Elephas maximus indicus: one gene and its partners. The protein of the gene in region 3 interacts with the protein of the main gene of each other region in a biochemical or structural test. Links are inferred from orthologs where the notes say so. Each region holds a gene or a part of one and is shown on either strand. Other genes may lie near its edges.

Evidence for each region.
Region 1: the proteins of DSG1 (region 3) and JUP form a complex in vitro, tested with the Homo sapiens proteins (2 studies listed by BioGRID and IntAct). The link is inferred for Elephas maximus indicus from reciprocal best matches to the Homo sapiens genes DSG1 and JUP.
Region 2: the proteins of DSG1 (region 3) and PKP1 form a complex in vitro, tested with the Homo sapiens proteins (2 studies listed by BioGRID and IntAct). The link is inferred for Elephas maximus indicus from reciprocal best matches to the Homo sapiens genes DSG1 and PKP1.

Annotation. Positions count from the first base shown.
Region 1 is NC_064837.1:48,804,876-48,814,947, reverse strand, and holds the start of JUP (junction plakoglobin), read left to right. Parts: upstream 1-4,812; 5' UTR 4,813-4,953; intron 4,954-5,132; exon of another isoform or gene 5,133-5,331; intron 5,332-6,308; exon of another isoform or gene 6,309-6,380; intron 6,381-10,072. UniProt on the Homo sapiens protein: Common junctional plaque protein. The membrane-associated plaques are architectural elements in an important strategic position to influence the arrangement and function of both the cytoskeleton and the cells within the tissue.
Region 2 is NC_064836.1:9,781,447-9,792,398, forward strand, and holds the start of PKP1 (plakophilin-1), read left to right. Parts: upstream 1-6,206; 5' UTR 6,207-6,543; coding exon 6,544-6,745; intron 6,746-10,952. UniProt on the Homo sapiens protein: A component of desmosome cell-cell junctions which are required for positive regulation of cellular adhesion.
Region 3 is NC_064829.1:38,711,457-38,722,323, forward strand, and holds the start of DSG1 (desmoglein-1), read left to right. Parts: upstream 1-6,271; coding exon 6,272-6,319; intron 6,320-10,867. UniProt on the Homo sapiens protein: Component of intercellular desmosome junctions. Involved in the interaction of plaque proteins and intermediate filaments mediating cell-cell adhesion.

The DNA of each region.
Region 1 (10,072 bases), on a different chromosome or scaffold from region 3:
TGATGAGTATACTCCCACAATGGCCTAAAAGGTCAGGGTGGAATTTAGAATTCTGACACTCCTCCGCAAGTGGCAACCCCCAGGAGAACTGCTCCCTGGCCCCCAGCCCTGAGCCCCAGGACCATCTCCCCTTCCTGTCCCACCCCTGGCTCTACCCACAACAGGAAGGGCCTCCAGCACATATAATGGGTGCAGATAGCCCAGCTCGCATGTCCTGCTCCCTGGCCCCAGAATAACTGCAGCCCTTGTCACCTCTCTGGCTTAAGTGTACGCATACCAGCTATGATGCGACTGTCCTTCTCAGAGGAACAGCCAGAATAAGGGGCCCACAGGCCCTGAAAGCCAAGTCAGTGCTGGGCAAAGGATTCTGAGTTTTGGGTACCAGGGCGTGGTCCCGAAGGGAGAGGTGTGAACTCTGTATGCTTGTCCCTTTGCCCTGTGTGGAGGGGCACAACCCCAGCAGGACCAGAGTGGGGGCCTTCTGAAGGCAGGACCAGGACAGGAGCCCTCTTTCCCCCTGGGCAGAGAGATGCCTCTAGGTTTTTGTATTGCCTTTGATGCAATGTCTGCAACCCAGGAAGAACTTCCAATTGTCTGCTCTCCTTTTCTTCTGCTGAAAAGCCAGGGGAGAGGCGCCAGTGTGATTAAAAAGTACCGCTATCGGCCTGAGGAGTCCCTGGGTGATGGTGACACACATGCTTAACGTACTCCGCTGCTAACTGAAAGGCTGGCAGTTCCAGTTCACCCAGATGCACCTCGGCAGAAAGGCCTGACGATCTACTTCGGAAAAATCAGCCATTGAAAATCCTATGCAGCACAGCCCTTCTGTGACATACGTGGGGTAGCCATGAGGCAGAGTCGACCCCATGGCTACTGGCACTAGATCAGCCTGAAGTTTGACACTGTTCACCCTTGCCCTCCCTCTATAGAGGTGGCCACCCCTTAGGCCACCTTAGGCTGAAGAGGAGAGGAGAAGGGTGTGTGTGTGTGTGTGTGTGTGTGTGTGTGTTTGTGTGTGTGTGTGTGTGTGGTGGGAAGGGAAAACCGAGGTGTCTGGTGTTCCTATATCTGAGTCTGTATCCGTGTGTGTCCATGAGTGTGTCCCTGAGGTTTGAGCGTGGAGGACTGTGTGGGTGTGTGGGTGTGGGATCTAAATCTCTATCTGCCTCTGTCTGGGGAAGGGGCCCTGCAGGGAAAGGGCTGTGTCTGGACAGAGAACAGACATTCTTCCACCTCCTTATATGGCCCAGAGGCCTCCTGGACGGTGAGGGGAAATGAGATAAGCTGAGGAGGGGTGGCCTGGCTGTCCGGACGTTGGCAGTTGTACACCTTCTCCAAGAGAAGCGCCTTCCCCCTCCCCTACCAGTTCCACTCCCTCCCGAAAGCCCCTCTTTGGACCCCTTTGGCCATTTACTTCTGTCTCTGGGACAGCTTGGGATAGGCCACCTTGGTGCCTTTTCATTCTTTACTCTGAGGCCCCAAAAAGCTGCAAGGTTGAGTTAACCATGTGTTTTTGGTAGTTCTGGAGCTTCGAGCAAGAGACATGAGTTTAAACTGCAGGAATAGGAAATAGGCTAGACGTTAGAAGGAACTTCTCTCTGTTCGAATAAGGAGACAAAGGCATTTAAAACTAAGGGAGAATGGAGAACTTCTTTTGCCAGAGATTTGTCAAAAACAGAAATCCCTGCCTTTAAAACCGTGGAGGCAGGGAAGTGGATATGATGGCCATGGGGCCTTTCCTTCACTTCAGTCAGTCTTCCTGAAGAGACTGTGGTCACAGTGACCCCCTTCTGTCTACCTGCACATCTCCTCCCCCATGAGACCAAAACCCCTATACAGACAGCTGATTTTAGTCAATACAACTTGCTGTGTCCTCAGTGTCTGGCAAGCACATTGTAGGTGCTTGATAAATGTGCAGAACATTTCCTGATCTGGGTGGGGGTACAGCTCTTATCCCAGTCTTCCCTGCTGCTCTTGTGGGTGCTTCCACCCAGCCCCAGTCTGTGTGCTTAACTTTGAGGCCAGCGTGTTGCAGCATGTTCCAGGGTGAGACATGCAGGGAACATTGCTGGGAAGACACACACGAGCACCAGTGGTGCGCACACGCACACACACACACACACACACTTTATCCTGAAGCCTTATTTCTGCCCTTCCACTCCACCCAAGCTCCTCCACCCCTCTATAGTCAGCCAGCCCTACCCCACTTATATGCTGAAGTCAGGAGAAAGAAGAGGGAGTTAAGCTAGGCTTGGGTTTGGGAACTGTGTGTGTGAGCGCGCACGCACGCACGCACACGCACGTGTGCAGGGGTGGGAGGGTGGGCAGGAGAGGTGGGAGGGAGAGGAAGTGACATCCTTCCACAGTGGTGACAGCTTAGGATTCTGAGCTCTTTTCCTCTGAGCTCTTTTCCTCCCAAGCCTTGGGCTGGCCACTGCACTGTGTGGCAGGATGGAAAGCAAGTGGGTGGGTGGGGGTAAGGTAGGGATAACAATGCTGAGACCGGCTGGAAGGGGGGCGGGGTGGTACAGAAAGCCAGGCAAAGGGCAGTGGCCCTGGCATGTGTTCAGGAATGTTGACGTCTCCCTGGCCCCCTCCAGGAAGACTTCTTGGATGGCACGAGCTTCAGAAGGGAGAATGTTAGCCATAATTCCCTCGCTGGTGGGGAAAGTGGTCAAAGATGCTGCTGGGGTACATTCACCCGGCCCTATCCTGTGTGTGCTAGCTTTGGAGCTATAGTTTTTTGGGGGGCGGGATTCCTTTCCTGAGCAACCACTCTCCCTTCCCTCCCCCCACCACAATGCACACACACACACACACACACACACAAGCTGAATGAATGAGTGTCTGTAGGATCCTTGACATACTGTGCAGCTACCAGCGGGCATTCATTTTATCGACCACAAAAATAAAATACTGGACCCTGGTCTTAACCTGCCTATCAGGAAGTTCTATCCGAAGAACCCAGGCTCTTCCACCAGTGAGGGGCTCAATGCCCACGCCTTCTATGCCAGTGATAGATTTTCTTTAGATCTGCTGCCTTATTTCTTCCAAACTCACCAAAGTCTCCTTACACCACGTTACGGATTGAATTGTGGCCCCCCAAAATGTGTGTCAACTTTGCAAGGCCATGATTCCCAGTATTGTGTGATCGTCCACCATTTTGTCATCTGATGTGATTCTGTGTGTTGTAAATCCTAACCTCTATGATATTAATGAAGCCCTGGTGGCATAGTGGTTAAGAGCTCGATCAGCAGTTCAAATCCACCAGTTGCTCCTTGGAAATGCTATGGGGCAGTTCTACTCTGTTCTATAGGGTCGCTAGGAGTTGGAATTAACTCGAGGGCAACAGGTTTGGTTTGATTTTAGGGTGTGTTGTTAATGAGGCAGGATTAGAGGAAGCTATGTTAATGAGGCAGGACACAATCTACAGGATTAGGTTGTATCTTGAGTCAATTTCTTTTGAGATGTAAGAGGAAATCAAGCAGGGACCTCCTACCACCAAGAATGATGAACCCGGAGGGGAGTGTGTCCTCTGGACCTGGGGTTCCTGCATTAAGAAGCTCTTAGGCCAGGGGAAGATTGATGACAAGGACAGAGAGAGAAGGCCTTTCCCTGGAGCTGGCACCCTGAATTTGTACTTCTAGCCTCCTAGACTGTGAAAGAATAAATTTCTCTTTGTCAAACTCATCCATCTGTGGTATTTCTGTTGTAGCAGCACTAGATATCTAACACACACCAATACTTCATCTTTGTTTCAAAAAATCGCTCTTCAATGTCTCTCCAAGTGTTGTTTTTGTCTCTTCCCACCCTTTCTTCATTGCTTTGATATTTTATTCCACCAGGTGAACCTGTGATTTGGTGGGCCTTGTAATTAGAACAGTTCTAGCTTTAGGATGTGCCACTTTCTAATTTTGTGTCCTTTCTGGACCTCAGTTTTCTCCTCTTTAAAATGAGGATAGTTTTGTTGTCCTAGCAATTTTCCAGAATTGTGAGAATTAAAAAACCCGTAACATGAATTTAAATTCTAACATTTAGCAGTTATCCAAGTCCTTTCACAAACCTTACTTTATTTATTCCCCACACACCCTAATGAGATAGTTATAATTAATGTACCCACTTTACAGATGAGGAGAAACAGGCGAAAGGTGAAGTAACTTGTCTAAGATCATATAGTCACTAAGTGGCAGAACTCAAACCCAGGCGTACTAACTCTAAATTCCATGAGCATTCATTTCATCTTTAGGGGGAAAAAAAAATTCCAGCCCAGCAAAATGCTGTATGAAATGCTATAAAAGTATGTTTTTACTACTTTGGGGCAAAGATGAATAAGCCCAAAGAAGCTTCATGCCTGACGCTGAGTTAGCAGGCCAGTGAAGACGTCTGTCCCTTCCCATGGCGCCCTGTGACTCACCTGTTGGACAGGTAGGGGGAAGGGAGAGTCATGAGTCTTACCTGCTCAGAGCCAGGGTGGGGCAAGACACACCCCATCCCTCCCATTGGTTCTTTCCTTATTCTTACTGACAGTCCCTTGCCCAAACAAGAAGAAGTAAGCCCCTTTCAGCCAATAGGTGCGGAGCTAGGATGGCATCTCAAGTTGGAGTCCGTCCCCAGAGGCGACTGGCAGTCCCTGGGGCCAATGGCAAGTCGATAAACAGAGGCGGCCGTGGTGGGGGCCTGAGAGCGAGGCTCCGCCCGTTGATGGGACAGTCATGCGAATTAACCAGTGAGCTTGCTTCAGCTGGTGGGAGTCTCTCTAGGGGGCGGAGCTTCGAGGGGGCGAGAGGCGTGGCTTGGCTGTCAGGTCCCTTCGCCTTTTGTTCGGTTACTGAGTTGCTGCCTTGGCCAGAGTCCGGTGCAGCCGCCGCCCGAGCGCGCCGACCTCAGTTCGCTGCCCGCGCCGGCCCCGACCCCGGCCCGACCCAGACCCGGCCCGGCTAGGCTCACACGCAGGTGCGGACGATCAGGGGCAGGGATCGCTGGGGCGAGGGAAGGGGCGGCGAGGGGCCAGAAGGTCCCAGCAGTCTCGGGGCAGGTGAGGGCGGGTGTAGGGGGCGCCACCCTGCACCGGCGGCAGGGGGCGCGCTGGGGTCCTGGGCGTGGAGACTAACGGAGCGCGAGATTCCGGCCCGGCGCTGTTGGGGGTTTCGGGATCTGGAGATCAAAGAAGGTCCGGGAGGGATCAGGGCAGGTGCTTCCAGAGTCGTGTCTTCCTCGGGTCGGAGAAGCCCGCCCGACGCCCGGCCCCTGACTCTCGCCCTGAGCTTTTGGGGAAGACTTTGACCTGTTCCGCCTGCGTCCCAGGGCGCACTCAGCTGTCAGGAATTTACGGTTTGGGAAACTTGCTGCCGCTGGACTCTTTGGGGCCACCCCTACCCCACCCCACGCGTCATCCTCGCTTTCCCTCCCTCCCTACTCCCCCAGGCCTGGGTGGGGCCCTATTGTCTGCGACCGGCTTGCCCAACTGTGGGGGCCAAGCGCACAGTTTCACAGAGACGCGGCCCCCACCTGCCGAGCAGGTGAGCGCACCGAGGCCAGAGGCCCAACCCTCCCTCTCTGCGAGCCTGGTCGGCAGTGTACCTGGGGCGCCTCCCTTCGCTCGGGTGGGTGCCGGGCTGTGGATCCCCCAGCGGAGGTGGGATGGGGCAACAATGAGGCTGATGCAGGGCCCTGCTCAGTGCCCAGCTGGTTTCTGCCCCCCGTTGCTCGATCAGGATCTTGGCGGAGCGGGTCTCTGCGTGGGTAGAGGTTTCAGGGCGGAGGGGTCACCTGGCCCAGTTTCCAATAGCTTTGGCTCCCAGAGTGTTCATATGGGAACAGGGCTACTCTTCCTCTCTAACCTCTTATTTTTGGAAAAATCACCCAAAGCAAACTTTCCAGGAGGAAGTATTCCAGAAGGAAGATTTCTCTGGGGGCTTTCCTGCCTCTTTGACCAGAGTGTCCCCCAGACTTAGAGGGACCTTCTTGTGGGGCAGAAAGCCCCTTTCCCCAGCTGGCCCCAGGCTGGCCCAGCCTGTCCTCCCTGCCCAGCCCCCCATCCTGTTTGCTGGGCCCCTGGGGCCTGAGGTGGGGGCCGATGGGGGGTGTGGGCCAGAGGGGAAGCAGCTTCTTCCTTCTTTTCCTGCCTCCTGGGGGACCACCACACCCCCTCCGATGAGGAGGCCTGGGCTAGTAGCCCTCCCTCCCAAGCTCTGCTTCCCCCACCACCACTTAGGAATGGGGGTGCGGTGGGACTGGGCCAAACTGACGGGGTGGGGGGAGTGACTGTTCTCATTTTCTTTCTATACCCCAACGCCCACGCTGTTTAGCTGGCTGGTAATTGAGGCCGAAGACCTTGGAGCTGGGAGGCTTGCTTTCCATTTGACTTCTGAATTATGAAGGTGCACTCTTTGTGGAAGCTTGTGCAGTCCTTTCCCCACCACCTCCCTTTCCTGAGAGATTTTGATGGGTAAAGTGGGCTACGAGGAAGGCTTCGCTTAGGTAGAGCTGCAGAGCTTCACTAGGCCCTCCCTGCCCCCCTCATTTCCTGAGAGCCCCTCTCCTCTGGCCCAAGTTAAAGATCTCTACCAGGCTTTCAACAATATCTTTTCAAAAATCTAAGGTGTGGTCTTTTTTGGAGGAATTTGGAGCCCAGCTTCCCTGGGGGACACAGAGGGAACAGAAGAGCCAGGCTGTCCCTCCGTCCTGGGGAGCAGGGGTGGGTGGCGGGAACATCACTTGGCTTGCCCTGACTCACTGGGGACCCCTTCTTTCATGGCTATGGATGGGAGAGTTAGGGAAGGAGGGGAGTCAGACCTGGGAACCCAGCTGCCCCCACCATGGGATGCCCTGGTAGGTAGGGTGCCCTGGGCTGAGCAGGAGGCTGGAGAGGTAACCCCAGGACTTCTCTGTTCGTGGGGTCTGCACCTCTGGGGAGCCACAGGGGCATGGAGTTTGGGCCCAAATAAGTTGTTTACCCTCCTCTCAGTGCCAAGGTGGAGAAGGGGAAGGTGTTGTAACTACCGAGGCTAAATAATTAGTTTAGCTAATCTGGTTTGTGGCTGTGATAAAAAGTTAATACTGAGGAAGCATCGCTGAGAGGCGCCTCATGAAAACCGGCTGCTTACTGGAGGGGAGGGGGATAATAGAGGAGGGGAGGGGGATAATAGAGGAGGGAAGAGGAATAAATAAGGTAGGATCAGATTAGTCATTTCTTGCTAGATCAAGCCCCAGCTTGGGTGACCTGAGCCCTCTCCAGCCCCACCTCCACCCCGCACCCCAGCCCCACCCCATCCCCCCTGGAACCTCTGGTAGGGCTGCCAGGACTGAAGCTTTGAGAAAGCAGCATGTAGGAATGAAGGTCAGGCTGGGCCCTGGAGCCTGTTTTTCTTCCTGGAGACCCCTGGAGGGGAGTACAGGTGTGGGGAGAGGGGATGCCTCTACAGGGCCTGGGAGGGACTAGGGAGAGGATCCCACTTGGAATGAGCTGGGACAACTGACTAGTGTACAGAAGGGCTGTTTTTTGGAGTGGCATTATAGCGGGGCAACTCTGGGCACAGGGATTTGGGTTGGACTGAGCTGGGTTTGAATGCCACCTTTGTCACTCAGTACCTATGTGGCTTTGGTCAATCACTTCATCTCTCTGAGCCTCAGTGACCTCCTGGGTAAAATGGGACAATAATAACTACGGACCCAGTAAGTGAGGGCAGTGGTGGATGAGTGGTAGGATTCTTGCCTTTCATGTGGGAAACCAGGGTTCTTGTCCTGGCCAGTGCTTCTCATGCACAGCCACTCCCCATCTGTCAGTGGAGGCTTGTGTGTTGCTATGATGTTGAACAGGTTTCAGCAGCACTTCCAGACTAAGACAGACTAGGAGGAAAGGCCTGGTGATTTATTTCCAAAAATCAGCCAATGAAAACTCCATGGGTCGTAGTGGTCCAATCCCCGGGGTTGCCATGAGTCAGGGGCCGACTAGATGGCAGCTAACAAGAGCACCACCCAGTACGTGCTTGATAAATGGTAGCTTTAAGAACAAGGGAAGACTATGCAGATACTAGATACAAAATGCTCTCATGAACCGTTCTCACTGAATACTTCCCGTGATCCTTAGAGGCAGGTATCGTTATCCCCATTCTACAGATGAGGAAACTGAAACTCAGGGAAGTTAAGGAACTGGCCCAAGGTTGCACAGAAGACCCAAGCAGGGCTGGGACTGGTATTGGGGTCCTCTGGCTCCAAGCCCAGAGTTGATCCTACCATATCACCCCAGTGGAGCTCCAGGGAGAATTTTCCTGTTGCTCATTTTTCAGAGCCTCTACTTGGGAGATTGGAGAATTCAGAAACGCCCAGAAAGGTGTGTGGGGGTGGTGAAGGTGGAAGCAGATTTATCAGGTGGGGGTGACTCATGTCCCCGCCTCCAGCCTTCTGAAACTGCCCCTGTGCCTTGGTTTTTAGTTCCTGGTGGAGAGGGGCTATATTCCAGGACCAGGGATTGTGGTGGAGGTGTAGGGCTTGGCAGGGGGCAGGGGTCAAAGCTGCTGCCGCCTCCTGCTTTCCAATTGGGCAGAACCCTGGGCTGTTTTAGGCTTAACTGTGTGTAGGAAGTGGGAGTTGCCTGCTTTGCTGGGGGCTGGGGCTGAGCCAAAGTAAAGTGGGAGTGCCTACTCCCTGTGGTGTGGAAAGAAGTGAGAGCAGATTTAGGCCTGGGCTAATGTCCTGCTGGACTGTGCCACAGGGGGCTGCCAGGCTGCTCTTCAGGGGAAGCTGGCTGTCCTCTGCTTTGGAGCCTGGGAGACCTGAGGGCTGGGGGGTACAGGCCTTTCTGATGATGGGAGTGGGGGGTCATGGGTGCTGTCTGTCAGCCAGAGCTTTGGTTCTTCAGGAAGTAGCTGGTGTCAGACTGTTCTTAGACCTGCCTGGTCCTGGCACCTCTGCCAACTGGGCACCGGAACGGGCCTGGGAAACAGGGTGGGGGAAATCCTATATGCAGTGTGGCAGCCTGGGTGCTGCGCCTATCACCATTGGGCTTTCAGATCCCTTGAGGTCAGGAAGGGACTCCAGGCATGGGGGTAACTGATATCAGAGAAGAGAAGGTTGAGGGGTATGTCATGACAGAGAGGGAAAGAATGAACTCGGTCCTGGCTGATTGCTGTTAAAAGGGTGATAAGCTTATCACCACTGAGGACACAAGAGCCACTGGGATAGATGCTTTTCTAGAAGGAATGAAAGCTAGACAGGAAGAAGGACTTCCTGTCTGTTAGAGACAAGATCTCGAGTTGAAGAAGAGTGAGAGGGAGAGATGGAGGCTTGGGGTTGACTCTTCTCTGAAGGGGATGAAGCAGGGCCCCCTCTGTGTGAGCTGGGGGAGGGCTGGCAGGAATCACACCTGTGGCTGAGTCTGAGGTCTGCTTGGGTCCCTGGGGAAACTCTTAGTGTTATGTCTTTTGGGAGAAGAGGGGCATGGCAGGGAGAGGGGCAGGTGTCCATGGCCAGGCTGGGCCAGTGACCCCTGTAAAGAGAAAAGAGTGGTGTGGCTGGCCAGGTCACTAGAATTTGTGTCCCTACAAGTGACACCGTGAGGCTTCTCTCCCGGGACTTGGCTGACTCTAGTGGAGGTCTGTGGATGGACGTGGACTGCCTCATTTTCCAGCAACTTCCTTGGCCAGGCCTGAAAAGAAAGCTCTCTGACCATTTCCCTTTGCTCAGCCTTCTGGCATCTGAGCCTTTGGGGGCCCTTGGGCAGGAAGCTCAGCTTTCTGTCACCTGTGTGCGGGTTAACACATCCCATGTCTCTCTGTCCCCATTTCTTTCCTCACTATGAAGACAGCGGATTCTTGAGTCTCTGGTTTCCCAGAGCGGGGGTGGGAGCTGGGAGGGGGGACTAGGCCATCAACAAGCTGCTTATTTGGGGACGAGGAGGAGGTTGGGCTACAACCCCCTCCCCACTGACTGAAAAAATAATATCTGATCACTGTTAAAAAAAAAAAAATTTGAAAGTTTAGAAAAGTTTGAGAAGGAAAAAGAAATTGCTTATAATCCCATTCCGCAGAGGCAACCGTCACTAACAATTCTTTCCTGTCTCCTTTCTTAGCAT
Region 2 (10,952 bases), on a different chromosome or scaffold from region 3:
GAGAGGTTGCAGGCACCCAGAGGCACCTTGAAAGACCTGGCGGTCGAAAGTCAGCCATTGAAAATTCTATGGAGCACAGTTCTACTCTTACACACATGGGGTCACCATGTTTGGAGTCAACTCAGTGGCAAATGGTTGTGGTTTGTTGTATTTAGAAACTGGGGAAGGGGTAGCATGCCTCATCAGGGAAGCTTATAAGGTTCCTAAGATAGGCAGCGATTGAGTCCACCATCTGACCAAAGGAACTCAGCTACAAAAGACTTAACAGTGGGGAGCTGGGCCCGTGGCAGCTGTCCAGGCTGTCCAAAGGGGCCTGTAACCAGGGTCTGTTGCAGAGGGACTGGGCTGAATACGGTGGGGCCATCCTAGTGGGGGAGTGACTTCTTCCCCTGTCCCTAGTTCCTTGGGGTTGTTTGTGGGAGTTTGGGGCAAAGGTAGAGGTGACCCCTCACCTGGGGAATTGGAAACGGAGCAAGGTGAAGGTTTAGCCCAGTCATTCTCAGAGGCTGCAGGAGCACCAGGAGGCCTCTCAGCCTTTACCTGGGCTGCGCAGCCTCCCCCTTCTCCACTCATCTCCAAAAGGGGAGCTCTATAAGGGCAGAAACTTCATCTTCTTCACCGTTGTGCCCTCAGTGCCTAAAACAGAGTCTGTTTTAGATGCTCAATAAATGCTTGTCGAATGAATGAGTCCATGTCCCATTCTGTAGTGAACATTGCTGTCACCGGGTTTTCTATGTTCATAAAGATGAGGAGCCTTGATTGAGAATTGGAATCCGGGTCACACAGTGCTGTAGGGAAGACAGCAAAGAGAGTTAGAAGCTCATTCATATTCATTCATCACAATGACTCTGAGGATGAACATTTACTCATCTTGTTTCAAACCTAAAGTCCAGTGAACTTCTTTCAGGAAGCCTTCCCCAGAGCAGCCCCACAACCTGCAAACTGAAATCAGCCTGTACTCGGTAGAATTTTTTCACCATCTTAAATACGGGTCCTGACGGTCTCCTGAAAGCATGCCATTTCAGAGCTCAGCTCATGCGACATGCCTAGTTGACCTCTATCTTGGACTTTATGAGTATTGCCCTCTTCTCTGGCCTGTTGCTGAGGCAAGGCCCCACATGGGGTGGGCTCAGGCAGGCAAAAGAGAGGTGAAGGAAACAGCTCTGGCCTCCTGGTTGAAAACCACACACTTGAGCCCCCATTGCAATCCTTGCAGCTTGACTATACCTCCCTCACTTTGGTCGAAAACATGAGATGTCAGAAAGGGCCACATAAGCTAAAGACTCCATCAACCTAAGACCGGAAGAACTAGATAGTACCCGCCTACCACCAATGACCGCCCTGACAGGGAACACAACAGAGAGTTCCTGATAGGTCAGGAGAAAAGTGGGATGCAGAGCTCAGATTCTAGTAAGAAGACCAGACTTAATGGTCTGACTGAGACTGGAGGGACTCCAGAGGTCATGGCCCCCAGACTTTCTGTTAGCCGAAAACTAAAGCCATTCCCGAAGCCAGCGCTTCAGACAAAGATTAGACTGGACTATAAGACATAAAACGATACTGGTGAAGAATATGCTTCTTAGCTCAAGTAGACACATGAGACTATGCGGGCAGCTCCTATCTGGAGGTGAGATGAGAAGGCAGAGGGGGATAGCAGCTGGTTGAATGGACACGGGAAATACAGGGTGGAGAGAAGGAGTGTGCTGCCACATTGTAGGGAGAGCAGCTAGGGTCACCTAACAATGTATGTATAAGATTTTATATGAGAAGCTGACTTGAACTGTAAACTTTCACTTAAAGCACACACACACACACACACACACACAAAAGAGATGTGACTGCCCGTTCTCCTCCTCCCAGGTCGGAAGTCAGGCGATGGTTCAAATCTAGGCTTCACCACTGATGTAACCTTTCTGAGTGTGTTTCCTCACCTGTGGAATGGGGATAATACCTCGTTGAGTTGTTAAGGGGAGGATGAGATCAAATAATGAATGTCATGCACAGCAATGGCTCAACAGGTGGTCGGCGCCCCCTCTGTCCAGTCCCAGACTTCCTTTCCTTTGAGGTTGGGAGTAGGGAGGACAAGGGTGGGGGGAGGGGGGAAATATTGTCCAGAGAACCTGATTCAAGATTCCCCTGCTCTACAAATCCCCACAATTGACATCAGAATCACAGAGTATCAGGACTAGGGTCTCCACCTGTCTGTCAGTTTGTCCTATCTTGGTGGCCTGTGTGTTGCTGTGATACTGGAAGCTATGCCACTGGTATTTTAAATGTCAGCAGGGTCATCCATGGTGGGGAGGTTTCAGCGGTGCTTCCAGTCTAAGACAGAATAGGAAGACAGCTCTGGACATCTACTTCTGAAAGCAGATAGTGAAAACCTTATGGATCACAAGAATATTGTCTGCTATAGTGCTGGAAGATGAACCTCCTGGGTTAGAAGGTGCTACACGATAGCCGCGACAATGAACTCAAACATACCCGTGATCATGAAGATGGCACAGGATCAGGTAATGTTCCCTTATGTTGTACACGGTAGCTGTAAATTGGAATTGACTCAGTGGTAACTAACAACAGCAACGGCGCTCCAGTGGACTTTGGAATCCTCGAGTCTACCCCCTTACTTTACAGATTTGTGCAGGGGGCCCAGGGAAGGGACTTGTTTAGGATCATGAAGTTAGTTAGCAACCTAATTGGAACAGAAGCCCTGCTGGTGTGCCTTTCATGCCGCGTGATGGAAATGGGTGCTTTTAAAAGATTGATCCATGGAATGGTTTGGGGCCCACTGCTTGCCACAGGGAAATCCCCGAGGAGATAGGCTGACATCGCCATTAAGGTCCCAGGCTCTGGAGCCAGGCTGCTTGTGCTTGGCCCTGGTTCTGCCTCTTACCAGCTGGGTGACCTCACTGTGCCTCAGTTTTCTTATCTGAAAAAGAGAGATGATGGAGACAGTACCTACCTCATAGGGTCATTCTGAGGGATTGAACGAGATGGTCCATGTAAAGGGCCCAGAACCACGCCTGGCACATTGAAAGAGCACAGGAAATGCTGGCTATTGTTATCAATATAAATAATGTGGTTAGGTGCCATTGAGTCAGTTCCGGCTCATAGCGACCCTATATACAAGAGAACAAAACACTGCCCAGTGCTGTGTCATTCTTACAATCATTGTTATGTTTAAGCTCACTGTTGCAGCCACTGTGTCAATCCATCTCACTGAGGTTTTTCCTCTTTTTCGCTGATCCTCTACTTTACTAAGCATGATGTCCTTCTACAGGGACTGGTCCATCCTGATAACATGTCCTAAGTACATGAGACTACGTCTCGTCATCCTTGCTTCTAAGGAGCATTCTGGCTGTACTTCGAAGGCAGATTTATACATTCTTCTAGCAGCCCATGGTATATTCAATATTCTTTGTCAACACCATAATTGCAAGGCATCAATTCTTCTTTGGTCTTCCAAATAATATCAGTATCAAAATAATAGAGAAGCTGCTAGGACAACTGAACTTCATACCTGGAAACAATTTTGAAGAGAATCAGTTTCTGCTTCCTTGGGTTTGCCTTTTAGAGCAATATGGGCTACTCCAATCACCTCTTTTAGGGCTCTTCTACATCCTAAACCAAACCAAACCTATTGCTGTCGAGTCAATTCCAACTCATAGCGACCCTATGGGACAGAGTAGAACCGCTCCATAGGGTTTCCAAGGAGTGGCTGGTGGATTCAAACTGTCGACATTTTGGTCAGCAGCTGAGCTCTTAACCACTACGCCACCAGGGCACCTTGTACTTCCTACAAGGTCGCAAAATCATCGTTATTTAAAGACTTAATTAACAATTATTACAGCTAGCATATTAGGTTTTAGATAGGCCAAATGTGATATAATAGAGTTGAGTTTTTATGGGCCGTCATGTGTACTTTACCATGCATTGAAGCCCTTACATAATTGGTGTGCACTCTACTTTAATGCCCACTTTATAGGACTTTTACAAGGGAGGTCAGATAGTGTGGTAGGAAGAGCACTGGACTAAGAGTCGCCAGACCTGGTTAGAATTGAGGCTGTACCACGTATTAACTGGGTGGCTGTGGGCCAGGCACCTCCTCTCCTCAGCAGTAAACGCAGAGGCTGAGCCGGATGATGTCCAAGGCTCTGTCCAGCCCGGACACTCCATGGCTGGAAGCAGAATCTTAAAATGTCAAGTGATGACAGAGGCTTAGAGGTGCTGAACCTTTGTATATATGACCTGTTGTTGGTCACATCTCTGGTTTATTTGACGCTGAGTTTGTGAAAAAACATTGCTCAATTATAAAACTGTTTCTATTGGAAACTAAGATCTGCTTTACAATAATCCACTCTGCATAGGGCTACCAGGAAGGCAGTGTGGGGAAAGCTGAGGTTCCCTGAAGGTAACCCCCACTTCTCAGGCCCCTTATATGGTCCCTTATCACCCTAGGGCCTTGCAGTCTTCTTGATTTTTCCTCGACATATAATTCCTAATGAACACAGATTTCTGATTTTCCCTTCCTCTGCAGATTAGCAGGGCAAACTAATGAGACACGTGAGCTATGAGTGGCAACTACATATGATACCCAAAGTGATGTTGTTACTGAGTGATGTCAAGCCAGATCCAACTCATAGCAACCCCATGTGACAGAGTAGAGCTGCCCCGTATGGGTTTCTTGGCTGCAATCTTTATGGAAGCAGATCACCAGGTCTTTTCTCCCTCAGAGTGGCCAGGTGGGTTTGAACTGCCAACCTTCCAGTTAGCAGCTGAGCACTTAACTGTTTGCACCACCAGGAAGCTGATAGTATAACATAGCTGGAGGAGACCCGAAAACAAGAAGCTGACCAGGCTACACTACTCCACGGCTGATAACGTATGTTCAGAGTGAGAACCTGAGCCACCAAAAAGTATGTAAAGTATGTTCAGTATCTTTTGCTTACGGAAGCAAGGCAGGCTATGATATCTTTTAGAAAGATTTCCATTAAAGTAGCTTCGAAACTACTCAACTCCTGTTAAAAATACCAAATTTGCTGGTGTAGGCTATCTCAGTGCTTGAGGAGGAGGCGACTACAACAATAAAGCACCATTGCATGTGTCCACAGGGATATTGTGCACATAAGAGAATGAACTTGGTAGTGGCGCACACGGTTAAGTGCTCAACTACTGGTCATAGAGTTGGCAGTTCGAACCCACTCAGGGGTACCCTGGAAGACAGGCCTGACGATCTGCTTCCAAAAGACGACAATCTTGTAAATACCATGGAGCGTTCTATTTGCACGCCTGGGGTCACCATGAGTCAGAATTGATTCAATGGCAACTAACAACGAACAGCAACAGTCCTGGAATCAGATACTCACGGTGGAGTCGTTTTATGGACAAGTCACCCTTCTAGTGTTTCAGGAAGGATCTAGGTAGGATTCAGGGCAAACTTAATTTGCCTTGAATTAGCTAGCATTCCTTCATTCAACCATTCAAAACCCTTTTTTTATACGAGCTAAGAATGGAGTTTCAGAGAGAATCTACTGCTAAACCAAAAAAAAAAAAAGGAACCCGGTTGCCCTCAGGTTGATTCCCACTCATAGCGACCCTATAGGACAGAGCTGAACTGCCCCACAGAGTTTCCAAGGAGCACCTGGTGGATTCGAACCGCCGACTTTTTGGTTAGCAGCCGTAGCACTTAACCACTACGTCACCAGGGTGTCCAATCTACTACCAGCAAGGTGTTATTCCTGGTCATACCCACACGCGACAGGTGTACAACTTTGCGGTTTTGTATCCCAAGTCTGTGGTCCTTGGTGTGGGCTTCACGGCCCCATCTCACGCTCTCCGCACTGCAGGCTGCCTTACAGGAGAGTGGGTTGTCTCCATAAGGCTGGGCACTCCCTCTGAGCAAGGACTGGCCTCTGCCATCAGTTTGGGAGCCCCCTCTGACAGCGCTGGTCTCAGCCAAGACATCAGCATGAAGGGGGGAGGGAAGGCTGAGGGAGAGAACTCTTTAGGCTCCTGAGTTGAGCACATATTTTCTCCATGAGCCGGCAGGAACAGGACAGAGGGGCGTCTCCCTGGGGCCTCCATCGCCTGCGCTGCTTCCTGCGCGCCGTGGGGAGAGGGAAGGGAGATAAAGGAAGAGGGAAGGGAGATAAAGGAACAGGGAAGGGAGATAAAGGAAGAGCGCGGGGAGATACCGGCCGTCCCACACGCAGGACGCGCAGCCCTGCCCCCAGAGCTCTGGCTCCCGCAGCGGCAGGGCCCAGCAGCTCCGCGTCTGAGCGGCGGCGGCGCGCGGCCGAGTGGAGTGGGTGGTGCAGGGCAGGGGTGGTATATCCAGTCTGACAGAGGGCGGGCCTCGTCAGTGTCAGCAGAGGGACGAGCCGGGGTGGAGGCGCCAGGAGCAGCTGCCGGGAGCTCTCACCAGGACCACTCATTCTATGGCCGTAGGGAGCCGCTGAGAGCCACAAGAGCACGCTCCGCCTGCCCGCCGCGCCTCCCGCGTCGCTTTGCTCGTCCAGGCCCACCCCGCGCGCGCCTCCCGCCACCATGAACCACTCGCCGCTCAAGACCGCCTTGGCGTACGAATGTTTCCAGGACCAGGACAACTCGACTCTGGCTTTGCCGTCGGACCAAAAGATGAAGACCGGCACGTCGGGCAGGCAGCGCGTGCAGGAGCAGGTGATGATGACCGTCAAGCGGCAGAAGTCCAAGTCTTCGCAGTCGTCCACTCTGAGCCATTCCAACCGAGGTAAAGGTCTGGCGACCGCGTGGCCCGGGGGGCCCTCCCGCGCACCTCCCCGCGCGCGGGGGCCAGGCCGCGTGCGCCCGGGGGGCTGCAGGTGGCCGAGGGGCTGCCGGCTGGAGCAGGGTAGTGCGCGCAGCCGAGCCCCCGCCGGTGCAGACAGACAGTAGCGCGGCCAGGAGCCGTTCGCCGGCTCCACGAGTTCGGCGGCGCGCCACTGGGCGCAAAGTGGGTGGCTCTCCAGAGTGCCAGAGGCTGAGGGCCCCCTTCAGGGTCGTTCTCCGAGGACCGGAGGACTTAATTTCCTGGATTGCTGCTCGGGTAAAGAAAGGGGACCAGCCCCGTGTCCTATCCTGTCTCCCGCCGGAGCAGTGGTTGAAGTTGTGCGCCTGCTTCCCCGCCCCTTCCTGGGCTTCACGTTCTATTGCGCCCTCAGTCAGGCGGGACCCTGTCCTGGTGCGGCCAGTGCGTGGCGGCGGAGTGTGGCGAGAGGTCGCTGAGGCAGGGGTGCGGGCTCAGGAGAGGCGCTGTGGGAAGTGGAGCCGATGGGGAGCTGGGACAAGCCTCTGATGCTCCAAGGCACATCCGCGGGAGCCTCCTCCTGGAAGAGGCAAGTCTGGTCCGAAGGTCACGCGGGGCGAGTGTGCTCCTTGACGAAGGAAAATGGACAGGGATCCCCTCTTTTCCTTGTCGCTAACACAGAAACCCCCTTCCCACTGATTTCCCTTACCACACCCAGAGTAAGTAGGAACAAGCGTCCTAGGCAGAGTAGGGAATGGGGGTGTCAGGGGTGGGGATCCCACCGGGCCCAGGGAGTATCCCCGCAGAATCCTCATGGGTGCTTTTCCAGTCTGGGTGCTGGGCCTCAGTCCCCCAGGTTGCAGCCTCTGTGGGTACCAAAGCCCCCAGACTGGGGGTGGCTGGGAGAAAGGGATAAGGATCCCAAAACTAGAGGAGTAAGGTGCAGACCCTGACATGTGGGGACTTTTCAGACCACATACCTTAATACAAAGAATTCCCAGTAACAATCACACACGAATTAGTAAATCTGTGATTTTTATTTATTTTTTTAATTTATTTTTTGTTCTTTTATTATTTCATTCTCCTGAATTTAGTAAAATGCCAATACAGACTCTGCAGACTGCAAAATGTTGGTGTTGTTAGTAGCCGTCAAGTCAGCTCTGACTCAGTGCCACCCCATGTGGGCTCAGTAGCACAGGTCAACCAAGATTGATTTATTGAGCAAGTTGCTTGTGAGAGGTGGTGGTAGCGGAGTGGTAAACAGCAAAGAGACACCAAAAGGCTGCGGTGTGTGTGCCCTTTGTCCTTCCCAGGCTCCTGGCTGCTCTCACACCAAGTTTCCACCCGAGGTCACGCGGCTCCAGAGCATTTGCCCCTTCCCGTTTCTTGTTGTGCCTTGGTAGCTGCTTATGAGCCTTTTTTGGAAGTAGGTTTGGAGTAACAAGTGCTCCCATTTCTGGCTATAACCCAGAGCACAGGTCAAATCAACCTACTGTCTTCCCTGAACATGCCTTACCTGTCCCCTTGCCCTCCCACCCCGTCCCTAGCCTGAGCTCCTATCTCACAGTTCCAGAAAAGTCTCACACTGGTTTCAGATGCCCCAAGCACCCCATCTTACTCCGACCCATCCAGATATTGACTGAACATCTGTCTTTTTGGGGTGCTGTGTTTCTGGTCTTCACGTTTGTGGGTAACATCTAAGTTCCCCTGTTTACTTCTCCACCCCAGAGTCCCCCAAGGGGCTTCAGCCAGGTGAGGGTTGGCTCCAATGGCCAATGCATACCTCTCCAGAAATGGGGCTCTCCAAGGACTTATCCTGTAGGCGCGTACCCTCTACTCTCAGCTTCTGGGGAGGCTCCCAAAGGGGGCCAGTTTTCCCAGTAGCATCCTAGCTGGAAGAGGTCGTTCGGCTACTTGGAGCTGGTGTTTCTGGTTTATCTGGCTTCATTTTCATCAGATTTCCCATCCTCTCCATCAAAACCACCCAAGCGTTCCCTGTTTGGCTCTGTGGCTGGCTTTACTCACCCTGCTCTCTCTTACTCATATTGGTTTCCATTCCTTGGGCCTCCTCTGGTTCCTCAGAGGGGTGAGTTGGGTGCTATGGAAGGACCGTTAAAAAAAAAAAAAAAAAAACACTGTTGCCACCAAGCTGATTCTGATTCATTGTGACCCTATAAGACGGAGTAGAATTCCTCCATAGGGTTTCCAAGGAGTGGCCGGTGGATTCCAACTGCCGACCTTTTGATTAGCAGCCGAGCTCTTAATGGAAAGACCATATCCCAGGCTATTCCCCTTGTACCCTGGACAGACCCTCACTCTTCTTTAGTCTCTGGAGAGTGAAGAGGCCAGTATCCCTGGCATCTTTGATCTTTTTGGTCCTCCTGAATCCCATCCAGGGCCCACCTAGTTAAGAACCCTTGCCCTAAAGATGACCACCCACACCCCACAGGCTGCCCTTCAGAGTGCCTGCTGCTCCTGTACCCTGTAAAGAACAGTCAGGGCAGTTCCCTCAGGAACAGGCCACCCCACCCCTGGCAACAGCACTGACTTTTTCTCAGAGCCTTCCCCAGCAAAGTTTTGTTCTGTTAGGTCACTGAGGAGGAATTGAACCACCACAGGCTAGAAAAAGGAGCCCCATGGAGAAGCCCAGAACCAAATGCCCATGTCCACCCATGCTCTCCCTCCCTGAACACAGTAGATCGAACAGACCCCTGGCCCTGGTCAGGCAGCCCTGGAGGAGGGTGAGGGTCCTCTCTGCGACCTGGGGACATTGCAGGCAGAGGCTTCTCTGAGCTTGCCTATCCATCTTAAGCTGGCCCCTAAGTATTATTTCCCATGGCTTCAGAGGGTCTCTGTGCACATCAGGGTGCCTGGGGTGCTTTTCTTCTCACGGGAAGCCAGATCATGTGTGAAGCACAAGGAAAATGAGAGACCTGGCTGCTCAACAAAGATCCTTGCTGGGTAAACTTGACTCCTCTGAGGCTGGGAAAGTCCCTCCAGGGTTGATAATGAGCTTCACTGTACGGGGGGGAAGTCCTGGGCACACTGGTTATCCAGCCCAAAAGGAAACTCTTCTCCACATCAGGGTCTTTATAACTTCCTTTGGCGTCTCTTCCTAAAGCTTACCCCAAATCTCACTGGATCCCATCCCACACACCACCTGCCACCACCTTGAATATACGTCACACACAGTTTAAGTAAATGGGCTCCCTTTGTCGAAGTCTTATTCTGGGGAAATCGGAACACTAATTTGCGTGGCACTAATTTGCTTAGGGAAACCCTGGTGGCGTAGTGGTTAAGTGCTACGGCTGCTAACCAAGAGGTTGGCAGTTGGAATCCACCAGGTGCTCCTTGGAAACTCTATGGGGCAGTTCTACTCTGTCCAATAGGGTCGCTGTGAGTCGGAATCAACTCGATGGTAGTGGGTGGTAATTCACTTAGACAAGTGTGGGTCCGTCCTGCTTCTCTTTTCTTCTTAGAAGTAACATTTCCCATCTAAAATGGCCAAACCTCTATTTTTGTCTGGTCTGAGACAGGAGTTGGGGGATGACATTAGGCTAGGGGAGGTGCCTGTCTCCCCTTCCACCATTCCTTTGTCTGTTCGTCACCGTGGCAGGCTTGTGCTGGCTCCTCAGCAGAGCACAGGCAAAGGCTCCTCGCTCAGAAGCCCTATCCTTAGTTGGCTCCTTTGTGTTTGTGTTTGGCTATGTCTCCGCAGGAACCTCCCCCTGAGTGAAGGTTCTGTTCACACTTCTCTCTTGAAAGTTGTCCTGTCCTGACCACAGAGAGCAAGCAAACATCACTCCTCGACTTGTTTTCTCTGGACCAGGCTATGATAAAAAAAATGGGAGATGGTAAAGAGAGATTGGGCGTTAGCTTTGTTCCAGGAGCAAAACATACTAATTAGGCTCCAAATGAACCAGTCCTTTTTTCTTTACAATGTATCTTGGCTTGAAATTGGAGTTTTAGGCAGAATTTCCGTTGGCCTCTTATAAAAAAAAAAAAACACATGCAAAAATGCTGAGTATCCTGGGGTGTTTCATGGCAAATGACGTTTCCCTGGGTCCTACTCCTTTGCTAAGCTCATTGGCAGAGAATGAAAAGATAATATTAATAAAAATCCCTCTCCCTGCACATCAAATTGTAAATATAGATAAACCAGTTGTTCTAGGTTAAAAGTCTGGGAAGTACA
Region 3 (10,867 bases):
TCTATGAGGCTAAACCCTCATATAATACACTTAAGTGTTAAGATAGAGCCCATGGTTCTCAAAATCAGTTGAGATTTTCCCCTTTCCTAAATATTCTTTCAATATAGAGAAAAGTACATAAATATGTGATGATGTTGCACTCTTATTCTAGAATTAAGTAGAGAAAAATGAGTTTAAGGTTTTCTTTGGATCTGGTTTAAAAGAGAAGCAGGAGGGTTATGCAGTAGGTTACTCTAGTTAGTTAAGGTATTTTTCTGAAAATATGGAACTAAAAATATAATTTGATTATGAAGACCACCTTTTTCTCGGTTATTTGCTTTATGGTGGTTACTCTCAGTCATCATGATTTCTATTCAAACCCTTGAGATCAATCTTGCAGTATCTCCTAAAATCAACCAGTTTATAAATAAGTCATATTTTGTAGGGGTCTGCAAACTTTTTCTATAAAGCAGCAAAAGAAAAAAAAAAAAAAAAACCGATGCCACCGAGTCGATTCTGACTCATAGTGACCCTATAGGACAGAGTACTGCCCCATAGAGTTTCCAAGCAGCACCTGGTAGATTTGAACTGCCATCCCTTTGGTTAGCAGCCCTAGCTCTTAACCACTATGCCACCAAGGTTTCTAAAGCACCAGATAGTAAATATTTAAGGCTCTGCAGGCCACATAGCATCTGTCACAACTACTCAAGTCTGCTGTTGCAGTTGAGTGAAAACAGCCATAGACAACACATAAACAAATGAGCATGGCTGTGTTCCAATAAAACCTTATTTTCAAAAACAGGTAGTGACCTGAATTTGACTCATGGGCTGTAGTTTGCCAAGCTCTACTTTATAGCATTATTTTTACTTTTATTATTAAAAATTTCAAATACACAGAAAAATAGAACACCATATAGCCATGATTTAGTTTTAACAATTATTAACATTTTGCCATGTTTACTTCATCTATTTGATTACCGAACTATTATAAAGCAAATTGCTTTCATTGTGAGATTTCACTCCCAACTACTTTAACATGAATCTTTAAAAATGAAAACATATTACTGCATAACTAACCTAAATCTTCAAAAATAAAAGCATTTTATTGCATAACCTAATAAACTTTATAATAATTCTCTAACGCTCTCTAATTAAATTTCTCGATATATCTCCAAAAGGCTTTTTTTTTTTTTAAACCAGGACTTTAATTATTTGGTGGAAACCCTGGTGGTGTAGTGGTTAAGTACTGCAGCTGCTAACCAAAGGGTCGGCAGTTCAAATCCACCAGGAGCTCCTTCAAAACTATGGGGCACTTCTACTCTGTCCTCTAGGGTCACTGTGAATGAGAATCGACTTGACGGCAATAGGTTTTTTGTCTTTTGTTTTAATATATTTGGTTGTTATATATTAAAAGAAAATTCTTTTAATCTAAAACAGAAGCCCTCTCCCAGACATTTTTATGTATGTGTATAACATTGACTTTGAGGAATACTCTGATTTTAAACGATGTGAACAATATTAGAATCAATACATTAATATAAAGCCAAATACAAAATATTTTCATTTATGTTATTCTTAAAGAGGCTCTGGTGGCACACGTGATTAAGCACTTGGCTGCTAACTGAACAGGTGGCAGTTCGAACCCATCCAGTGGTTCCATGGGAGAAAAGCCTTGTAATCTGCTTTTGTAAAGATTACAGCCAGGAAAACTCTATGGGACAGTTCTACTCTGTCACATGGGGTGGCTATGAGTCAAAATCAACTGGATGGTACCCAGCAGCAACAACATATTATTATTAACTTGTTTGCCTCAAATTCTCCTCTATTGTTAAGGTTTTTGTTGTCATTTGTTTGTTTTTAATCTTTCATCCATTGTTTCTCTTTGAAATAATATGTGGAGCTGATCAGGGTAATTTAGAGACATTTATGAAACTGTTATTGTTGTTGTTAGGTACCGTTGAATTGGTTCTGACTCACAGTGACCCTATGCACAACAGAACAAAACACTGCCCGGTCCTGCGCCATCCTTACAATCGTTGTTATCCTTGAGCCCATTGTTGCAGCCTCTATGTCAGTCCGTCTTGTTGAGGGTCTTCCTCTCCTTAGCTCACCCTCTACTTTACCAAGCATGATGTCCTTCTCCAGGGACTGATCCCTCCTGACAACATGTCCAAAGTACGTCAGATGCAGTCTCACCATCCTTGCTTTTAAGGAGCATTCTGGCTGTACTTCTCCCAAGACATATTTGTTCATTCTTTTGGGAGTCCACGGTATAGTCAATATTTTTTACCAACATCACTATTCAAAGGCATCAATTCTTCTTTGGTCTTCCTTATTCATTGTCCAGCTTTCACATGCATATTTTATCATATTTATGAAATTAGAGGTTCACATATAACATAAAAGCATAAACTAAAGGGTTTCTCTGCAGTGTGTGTGCCCACGCTATTGGTGCTCTGAAGAAGTTGTACATCAGTAGAATCCATCAACTTTAGTTAAAGATGCTATTTCGTTTTTCAAGAAGGTATTACAGTATCCAAGCTGTGAACAAATACAGAAATGTGGACACTTGGAATGATATTTTGGAGTTGGCAGCACCTTACAAGGGAGGAAAAAGTCCTCTTCCCAGGAGAATTCTGATTCCTGTGGAAAGCACTGTCAGTTTGCCAGGGAAATTCCACGGACAGAAAATCACTCAAATTTTATAAAATTTCCATGAAATGAAAACTACTGGTATGTTTGTGAAGATACACATACTAAACAATGCTCAGAGTAGAAATTGCATTCAGTGAGATGGGGTATTTAGTTAGGTGACAGTGTGATGTGGCATTACAGATGAGGGGACTGGAAAAAAGAATTGAGGAATGTGAATTTGGAAATCAGAGGGGTTTGTGTTGTGTATATTTTACAGTGTCTTGACTAATCAGAATAGGAAATAGGATCAGTAAGGAGCCGGGAAAAGGGAGTGAACCAATGGAGATAATAAACAAAAACAAACCTGTTGGCATCAAGTTGATTCCGACTCACAGTGACCCTGCAGGACAGAGTAGAACTGCCCCATAGAGTTTCCAAGGAGTGCCTGGTGGATTTGAACTGCCAACTTTTTGGTTAGCAGCTGTAGCACTTAACCACTAGCCACCAGGGTTTCCATAGAGATAAAGGAGCCCATAAAGGGAAAGGAATTAAAAGGTGCTGATTGGAAACTGGAGCAGAGATATAGTTCTCTCTGTTAAGGAAAAAAAATAGTGTGGATTTAATAAAGAGGTTTGAATTTAACAGAAAGCAAAGAGTTAAGGCTTGGAGTAAGAGAAAAGATAATAAAAGCAATGATGCTCTAAGCCCTTTACACTGTCCAGTATGGTAGCCACCAACCACACATGGTTATATAAATTTACATTCACTAAAACAAAATAAAAATTCAGTTTTTCAATCATATTAACTACATTCCAAATGCTCAGTAGCTAGCGTTTAAGACCCCAGACATCACTCTCCAAAGTGGGATGCAGAATGTTTTCTTAATAGATTTTATTATGCCAATTAACTTAGGTGTCCCCTGAAACCATGGTCCCCTCCCCTGCCCCTGCTACGCTGGCCTTCGAAGCATTCAGTTTATTCAGGAAACTTCTTCGCTTTTGGTTTAGTCCAGTTGTACTGAGCAAGCAGCCATCTAAGATGCATCAATTGGTCTCAACCCACCTGGATCAAAGGAGAATGAAGAACACCAAAGACACAAGGCGATTACCAGCCCAAGAAACAGAAAGGGTCACGTGAACCAGAGACTACATCATCCTGAGACCAGAAGAACTAGATGGTGCCCGGCTACAACCCATGACTGCCCTGACAGGGAACACAACAGAGAACCCCTGAGGGAACAGGAGAGCAGTGGGATCCAGACCCCAAATTCTCATAAGACCAGACTTAATAGTCTCACTGAGACTAGAAGGACCCCGGTTGGTCATGACCCCCAGACCTTCTGTTGGCCCAGGACAGGAACCATTCCCGAAGCCAACTCTTCAGATATGGATTGGACTGGACAATGTGTTGGAGAGGGATGCTGGTGAGGCGTGACCTTCTTGGATCAGGTGGACACTTCAGACTATGTTGGCATCTCCTGCCTGGAGGGGAGATGAGAGGGTGGAGGGGATTAGAAGCTGGCGAAATGGACACGAAAAGAGAGGGTGGAAGGAGAGAACGTGCTGTCTCATTAGGGAGAGAGTAATTGGGAGTGTGTAGCAAGATGTATATGGGTTTTCGTGTGAGAGACCGACTTGACTTGTAAACTTTCACTTAAAGCACAATAAAAATTATTAAAACAAAACAAAACAAAAAAATGCTCAGTAGCCACATGTGGTTAGTGGCTACCATACTGAACAGCGCACATAAAGAACATTTGCTCATTGTGCGCTGTTCAGTTTGGTAGCCACTAACCACATTTTTTTTTAACCACATTTGGCTGTCAGGACACCTCTGCTCTGCCACATCGGGATTCTGCCACACCTCCTCCCTGGAAAGTTGCTGGTGAAGTTGTTGCTTTAGGAATGCTCTAGCTGGTTGGGATTGTTGGTGCAGGACATTCAGTTAGGGGTGGAGTTAGAGTTAGGCTTGGAGAAGAGTCATTACATGGATGAAGAGGACTTGTGTACACCTTAGCACAATGCCCAGAATCCAAGGTGGATAAAACAGTTCCTTGCCACTGGAAAGCTGCGAGTATTGATCTTTTCCTCTCTGGTGCCCAGTGAGTCTTTCTAATACATTGCTCAGACTAAGTCATAGGTTGACACTCACATTCTATCATATCTGACTAATGAGAAATTTGACCTGAGCATCTCCTTGCATTTTATTTATTCATATCAACCAATTTTATCTTAAACATTCTTACTCACTGCAAGTAAAAATAGGCAGCCTATCTCCCTCCCTCCATGCTCCATAATGGTTGGCATGAAATTTCAAACAGCTGTTGAGTAATATTTTTTGCCACACATTTGTAGTGAAATAATGGCACTCTGGAGAACTTCTGTCCCTCAGAGATACCCTTCCTCTCTGAGGCATTTTTAACAGCCCTTTGACCGTGATCAGCATCTTATTAGATCTGTCTCCTGTTCGAGACTGCCACTTCAAACTCTGAAGGCACACAGTATCTGCAGGCTTTCTTCTACCTACAATATTTCGAGACATTGACAGGTGAGAAGAAAATATTCCAAGAACATGTTCAAACACTGCCTCATGAAGGTCACTATTTTCACAAAGCCCAGAGCTGCATTTAATTTCCTATTTGCATATGTGGGCAGCCATTTCTTCAGTGTTTTCCCCATGTTCTAATTGGCTCACTATCCCGGTTCTTGGCTCTGGATATGGCTATAGTCATTGGCTTTTAACCCACCTCACCTGAAGAGCAGCTTTCCATGTTTCCATTAGTATTTCAGGCACTGAACCTTGTCTCAAAAATTATAAACAGGATTTTAATTGGTGATTTTGTTTACTTTTAATTTAGCTTAGTGATATTTTAAGTTTTGTTTTACTGCATTTGAAAAGAGCAGAATCTTTAAAAGAAAAATAATTGTAAGGAGAAAATATTCCTTCACAGAGAAAGTGGAGGCTTTGCTGGGTTGAGGCTGGTCACTTAAAGAGAACTTGATTTATGGAAACAACCTTATTAATGCAAGTATCATAATTTCCCTTGTTTGAATAAATCCAAAAAAAAAAAATCCCACTCTCAAAATTAGCAAATTTTCTACACCTTAGACTAGTTAGAAAATAACTGAATCTTTCTACTGTGACCTGAGGGTTTGGCTATGACCATGGACCAAATAATCCCTTTTCAATAATATAAGCACCCACACTGCACTTGTCTTTTAATATGGGAAGAAGCAAAATGACCAGTAAATAAATCACAGGGTGAAAAGCCCCTAATAATTGTACAACTCTTTATCCTTTTGATCGATTGAAATGCCTGCTAGTGAAAACGTTCAGAGGAATGACTCTTCGCTGGCCCATAGAGAGCTGCGTTTCGGCTGGAAGAAGGGTGTGTCCCAGAGCTTTTACCTGGGAGCAATGATGATCTTGTCAAGCATTTCAGTGAGACCAGCCCAAGTTTTTAGGGTGGGGATCCAGACTGGTTATACGTCCCGCCAGTCCTTCTCCCAGAGGAAGGCAGAAACACCTCAAAGCCTGCATGTAAGAACATCTACTGAGAAATCATTTTAATCAGACACCAGCTGAGTGGGGGAAAGCAAAGGAACAGAGAAGAACAAACAAAACTCCTTGGTCTCGGATGTAAAAGAACCCAGCAGCGATGGACTGGCACTTCTTCAGAACAGCTGCTGTGCTGTTCATTTTTCTGGTAAGTGGACTCTGTCAAAAATCCTTCAGAATTATTCTCATTGAAAATGAGTGAGAACTTTTTAGAAAATGTTATTTAATGTTACTTCTCACCTAAACTCATTAAAAGTTCATGTTAATGACAAGGTGATTTTATGAACTAGATCTTTACCTAGTGCTTCCCTCTTTAATTGAAGACTCTAGATCATATTAATGCATCAATGTCAACTCATCCTATCGCATCTCTGAGACTGAAGTCCGTGCTAAGTCATGCTGGGAAAATATTGGATAGGAAATCCATATCAGTACTTAGTAGCACTTTGTTGTTCAAATTCTCTTTTGCAGGTAGGCTTTTAAGCTATATATTACAGGCATGTCCTGAATCTTAAGTTAAACATTTTTCTATTCCTTTAGTATCTTTGAGGGAAAATTCACGATAATTTTTAAAACACAAAAATAGGATCCATATAAATTAAAATCATAGCAGTTTGTGACTGTTGTTATTATCCAAACAATTTCAGTTCTATATGTGGTTAGGATCCACAAGGCTAATACCAAAACCACCACGCTGCTAAACTGATTTTATTTAAAACAAGATTTTTTAATTAAAAAAAATAGTGGTATAAGAGATGTATAAATGACATAGTAGGTGAAGGAATGGCTATAATTAAGGAGTAAGTGTAATTATTATTATACTTGTTCTTGCTACCGAACTGAAAGTAAGGAATAACTGACATAAAATCGTGCATTTGATGGTCAAATGTAATGAAAAGTCTTGCCACTGCCCCCCTTACCACATTATTACCTTTCTCCTTTTAGAGCTGATACTAAATGCAACACCCGTGTATTACATCAGTTTTACTTACGATGAAAATATTAAAAGAGCCATCTCTCTCACAGTAAGGTTAATGTAATCCAAAAAGGCAGATGCCAGGTAAATCACTCTCCAACTTGGCAGAGGCAGTGCCGTGGTTCATATTTGTTTCTACTTGCTTAATTTTTGAACTGGAATGTTGGGTTTGTATAACAACAAGTTAGCTCTTTTATTCAAGGTACAGTGGTTAGTTTAAATTCAGTTCCTTAATTGAGAGGGGTCATAATCGGTCAATTTAGTTATAAATGAGCATCAATAAGCTGGTAACTTTAGCTGTCCCTCAAACTTTCCTATTCCATTTACTCTTCAATGGATCTTTAGGATAAGTTGATATCATAACTCAGAACATCGCAGGAATCAACGTGCATTATACAGTATGCCATTTGTATATATGAGCATTTGTGCACTAATAATCAAATGCTTTTACCTTCAATTTCATATACATTTGATCCATTTAGGCCTACTGTAGATTCGATTGATTATAGTTTGTTCAATATGTACTAACTTTCATTGAATTTGTAAGATAGGCCTTATTTCTTGATTTATATGATTATTTCTCACTAATGACATCCTGTAAATTTCCTTTTACTAGCCACTTCCTAATTAGTCACTCTTCAGTAAAATGTATCCTTTTATCAGAAGCATGTATTCTTATTAAACTTTCTCTCTTTGGAGAGAGTTTTCTGGATGTTCATATTTCCTGAGCCTGGATAGTTTTTTGTTTTGCCATGTTTTACTTGAAATCAATCACAAGCTTCTCATACCCCTTATGAGAATGATTTCTCAAAGAACTTATTCTATTATGAATGAAAATTTTTCATTTTCACATGGGCATCATAACTTTTTTGTAAAACATTTCATTTTCTGAGGTTTATTAACAAACCACAATTTATTTTTACTACTGATTTTACCAGATGATTTTGGTAATTGCTGTTTGAAGTTATCGAATCTGTCTTTTGCTTTAAAAATACTTCCCCTCTCCCTCTCCCCCACCCCCAGCCCTGGCAAAAGACAACCACTACTGTACAAACTCTTCCATTACCATTGTTAACCTCACTATAAATGCTTGCTTTTATAAAATATGTGTAAAGTGCTAAAAGTTGATCAATGAAAACCCTTGTTAGGAAGTGTATTTGGTCAATTATTAAAACCTTTAAGACATCTAAATTTTAAGACATTAAACTTTAAAGAAAATCCATTTGAGAGCTGCTACTATCTGTTTACAAGCATATTGTATAGTCTGCTCAATATTTCTGAAGGTTTTAGACCTTGTTAAAGTTAGTGGGCTGGATCAGGGAGAAGTAAGCTGGAGGAGCTTCTGTTATAGTGACAAAGATTGCCACATGACTCATTATTCAGACAGGCAATAGCTTACACCTGCTATAACACAGCAAGCCAAATAAATTTTATTGGTTTTGCAATTATTTTTCTTCCTTTACTGCTTCTGTGAAATGATTGTACTTGGGGGGAGGGGATATGGGAGTAGAGATTAGAATGTATTTTCTCTAAGCTAGAGAGCAATCTTACCTTATGCACCAAATATAAGAAATCTGTATGAATGGTTATGACTATACTAAAAGGTCTGGCATGGTCATTGCGGAAAGCAAAATAGAACTAGTAGAATTTCTGTGGTTCTAATGTTTTCTGAAAATGACGTACACATTTGCCAGGTCCAATTCAAATCAATTCAGATCTCAAGGTCTCTTTCTCTATAAAGACAAACTTCTGCAGTTTAAGTTCAAAGAACAAGAAAACAATATTTTTCATCTATTACCAAGAATGATCTGATTTCTTCAGTTTGTCATACTAGCCTATCTTCTCCACTTTCCACGGATTAATATTTCCTTTCAGAAAACCCTCTGGCCCCCTGATAAACTAACTGTAATTCGAACTTAGCTGCAGTTCTCTAAGATACAAGCAGGAGTATCTCTCAGCACTCATATTAAAATACACAGAAGAAAAAAAATTATTATACAGCCCATCAATTCCTTTGAATCAGACATCTTAAATTCCCATACTTGTGTTCACTGATGCCTAGAGCAAGAGAAAGGCTAACAAATTAGTACAGACCAAACAGAAGAGAAGCAAAAGAGAGAACTCTTTCACCATCTTTTCTAACTCAAAATTTATGCCTTATTGTACATGTTTTATAGTGATATACATTATAGAAATTAGCTTTTCAATAAAATATTTCATAGAAAATGGAAGCAGTATGCCTAGTAAGTGAAACTTATAAATTGCCTTTAAGCATACTAATTTCCATCTATACAGTATTCTTAGATGCTTTATTATTTCGCTCCAAATTTAGGATCAGCATCTTCTTTCACCTTTTCAAAAAAAAAAAAAAAAAAAACACAAGCATATCATCACTGCAAATTTCTCATCACCACAAAGAAATCTTTGACCTCTATAAAAATCACTACTTTAATTTATGTAACAAATACATGATGAGAGCATTCTGTATGGTTCAAACAGGAATGAGACAGTTATCAAACCTAAGTCAAAAAGCATTTTGGTCAAGAATGGCCCTGCCTCTGGTATCAACTTTCCTGATAGATCAAAACACTCTCCCTGTTGAGCCCAGAGGAGGCCTCAGAATCCTCTTCAACAACTGCACTTCAGGAAGCCACTATCAGTTGGTCTGAGTTACCACAGAGTAAAAATATTTTGTCATCCCTATTTTAGTGAGGCATTGGAAGTATCTAAAGGAGCAGGAAATTCTGACCTGGTAAACAAACGGCCTGACCCTGAGGACAAGATTCACCTGTTCAATGAGACTTGTGAAAATAGAAAAGTGACACTCTTGTCTATACCTAGAGCACTTAATTGCTGATAGCTCTTTCTGCATGATACATGCTTAAGGCCATTGCCGCTGAGTACCCCCCTGTCCTAACAGAGCATCGCCTATTGCAGAAGCAGGGAGCCTTCTCAGCATCACAGATAGGCTTACTGTGCTCCTGTCTACCGAGGGGAGGCCCTAGCAAAGTGTTGGGTCATGCCACCCTTGCAGGTCACACTTGGCATGAAAATTCCTTCAATGGACTGATGCAGGTCAAACACCATCAGCTGCTGATCCATCCTTTCCCTCAGTCTATGAGAAAGGAGTGCAGCCGTTTACACTTGTCTAATGAGAAACTTGTGGAGTACAGTTTTACTCTGCAACACATAGATTAGCCATGAGTTGGAATCAACTGGGCAACAACTGGTTTGAGTTGGAGTGAGAAACCACCTCTCCACAAATTAATGGCTACCTGTTGCTCATTAAATCACCTGACTATAAGTTATTTGAGGGCAGGTTCTGTGTCTGATTCACCTTTGAATTTCTCAAACATAATGACTTCTGCCAGTGCAAGATTTCTCGATAGGCATCTAATCACACAAAGCAGAGACACCAGAAGGGAATTTTGAATTTGGGGGTATTTTATATTTCTCTTCCCCAACACACTCCAAAAAAAAATCATCAAAGCATTAAACATAGAAATAATTGTGTTGGACTGCCCAAATGCTTATTTTTATGGTATAGTGTTACACTTACTTAGCATTTCATGTAGGGGTTAAGCCATAATATTTTTGCTGCTTAGGCCCTTTAAAAGCCTTAATCTAGGCTTGGATCCACATAATAAACATTCAATACATGTCTGTTAAGTAAATAAACCAATGAACAAGTAAAAGAAACCAACCCATTAAGGCATTGTC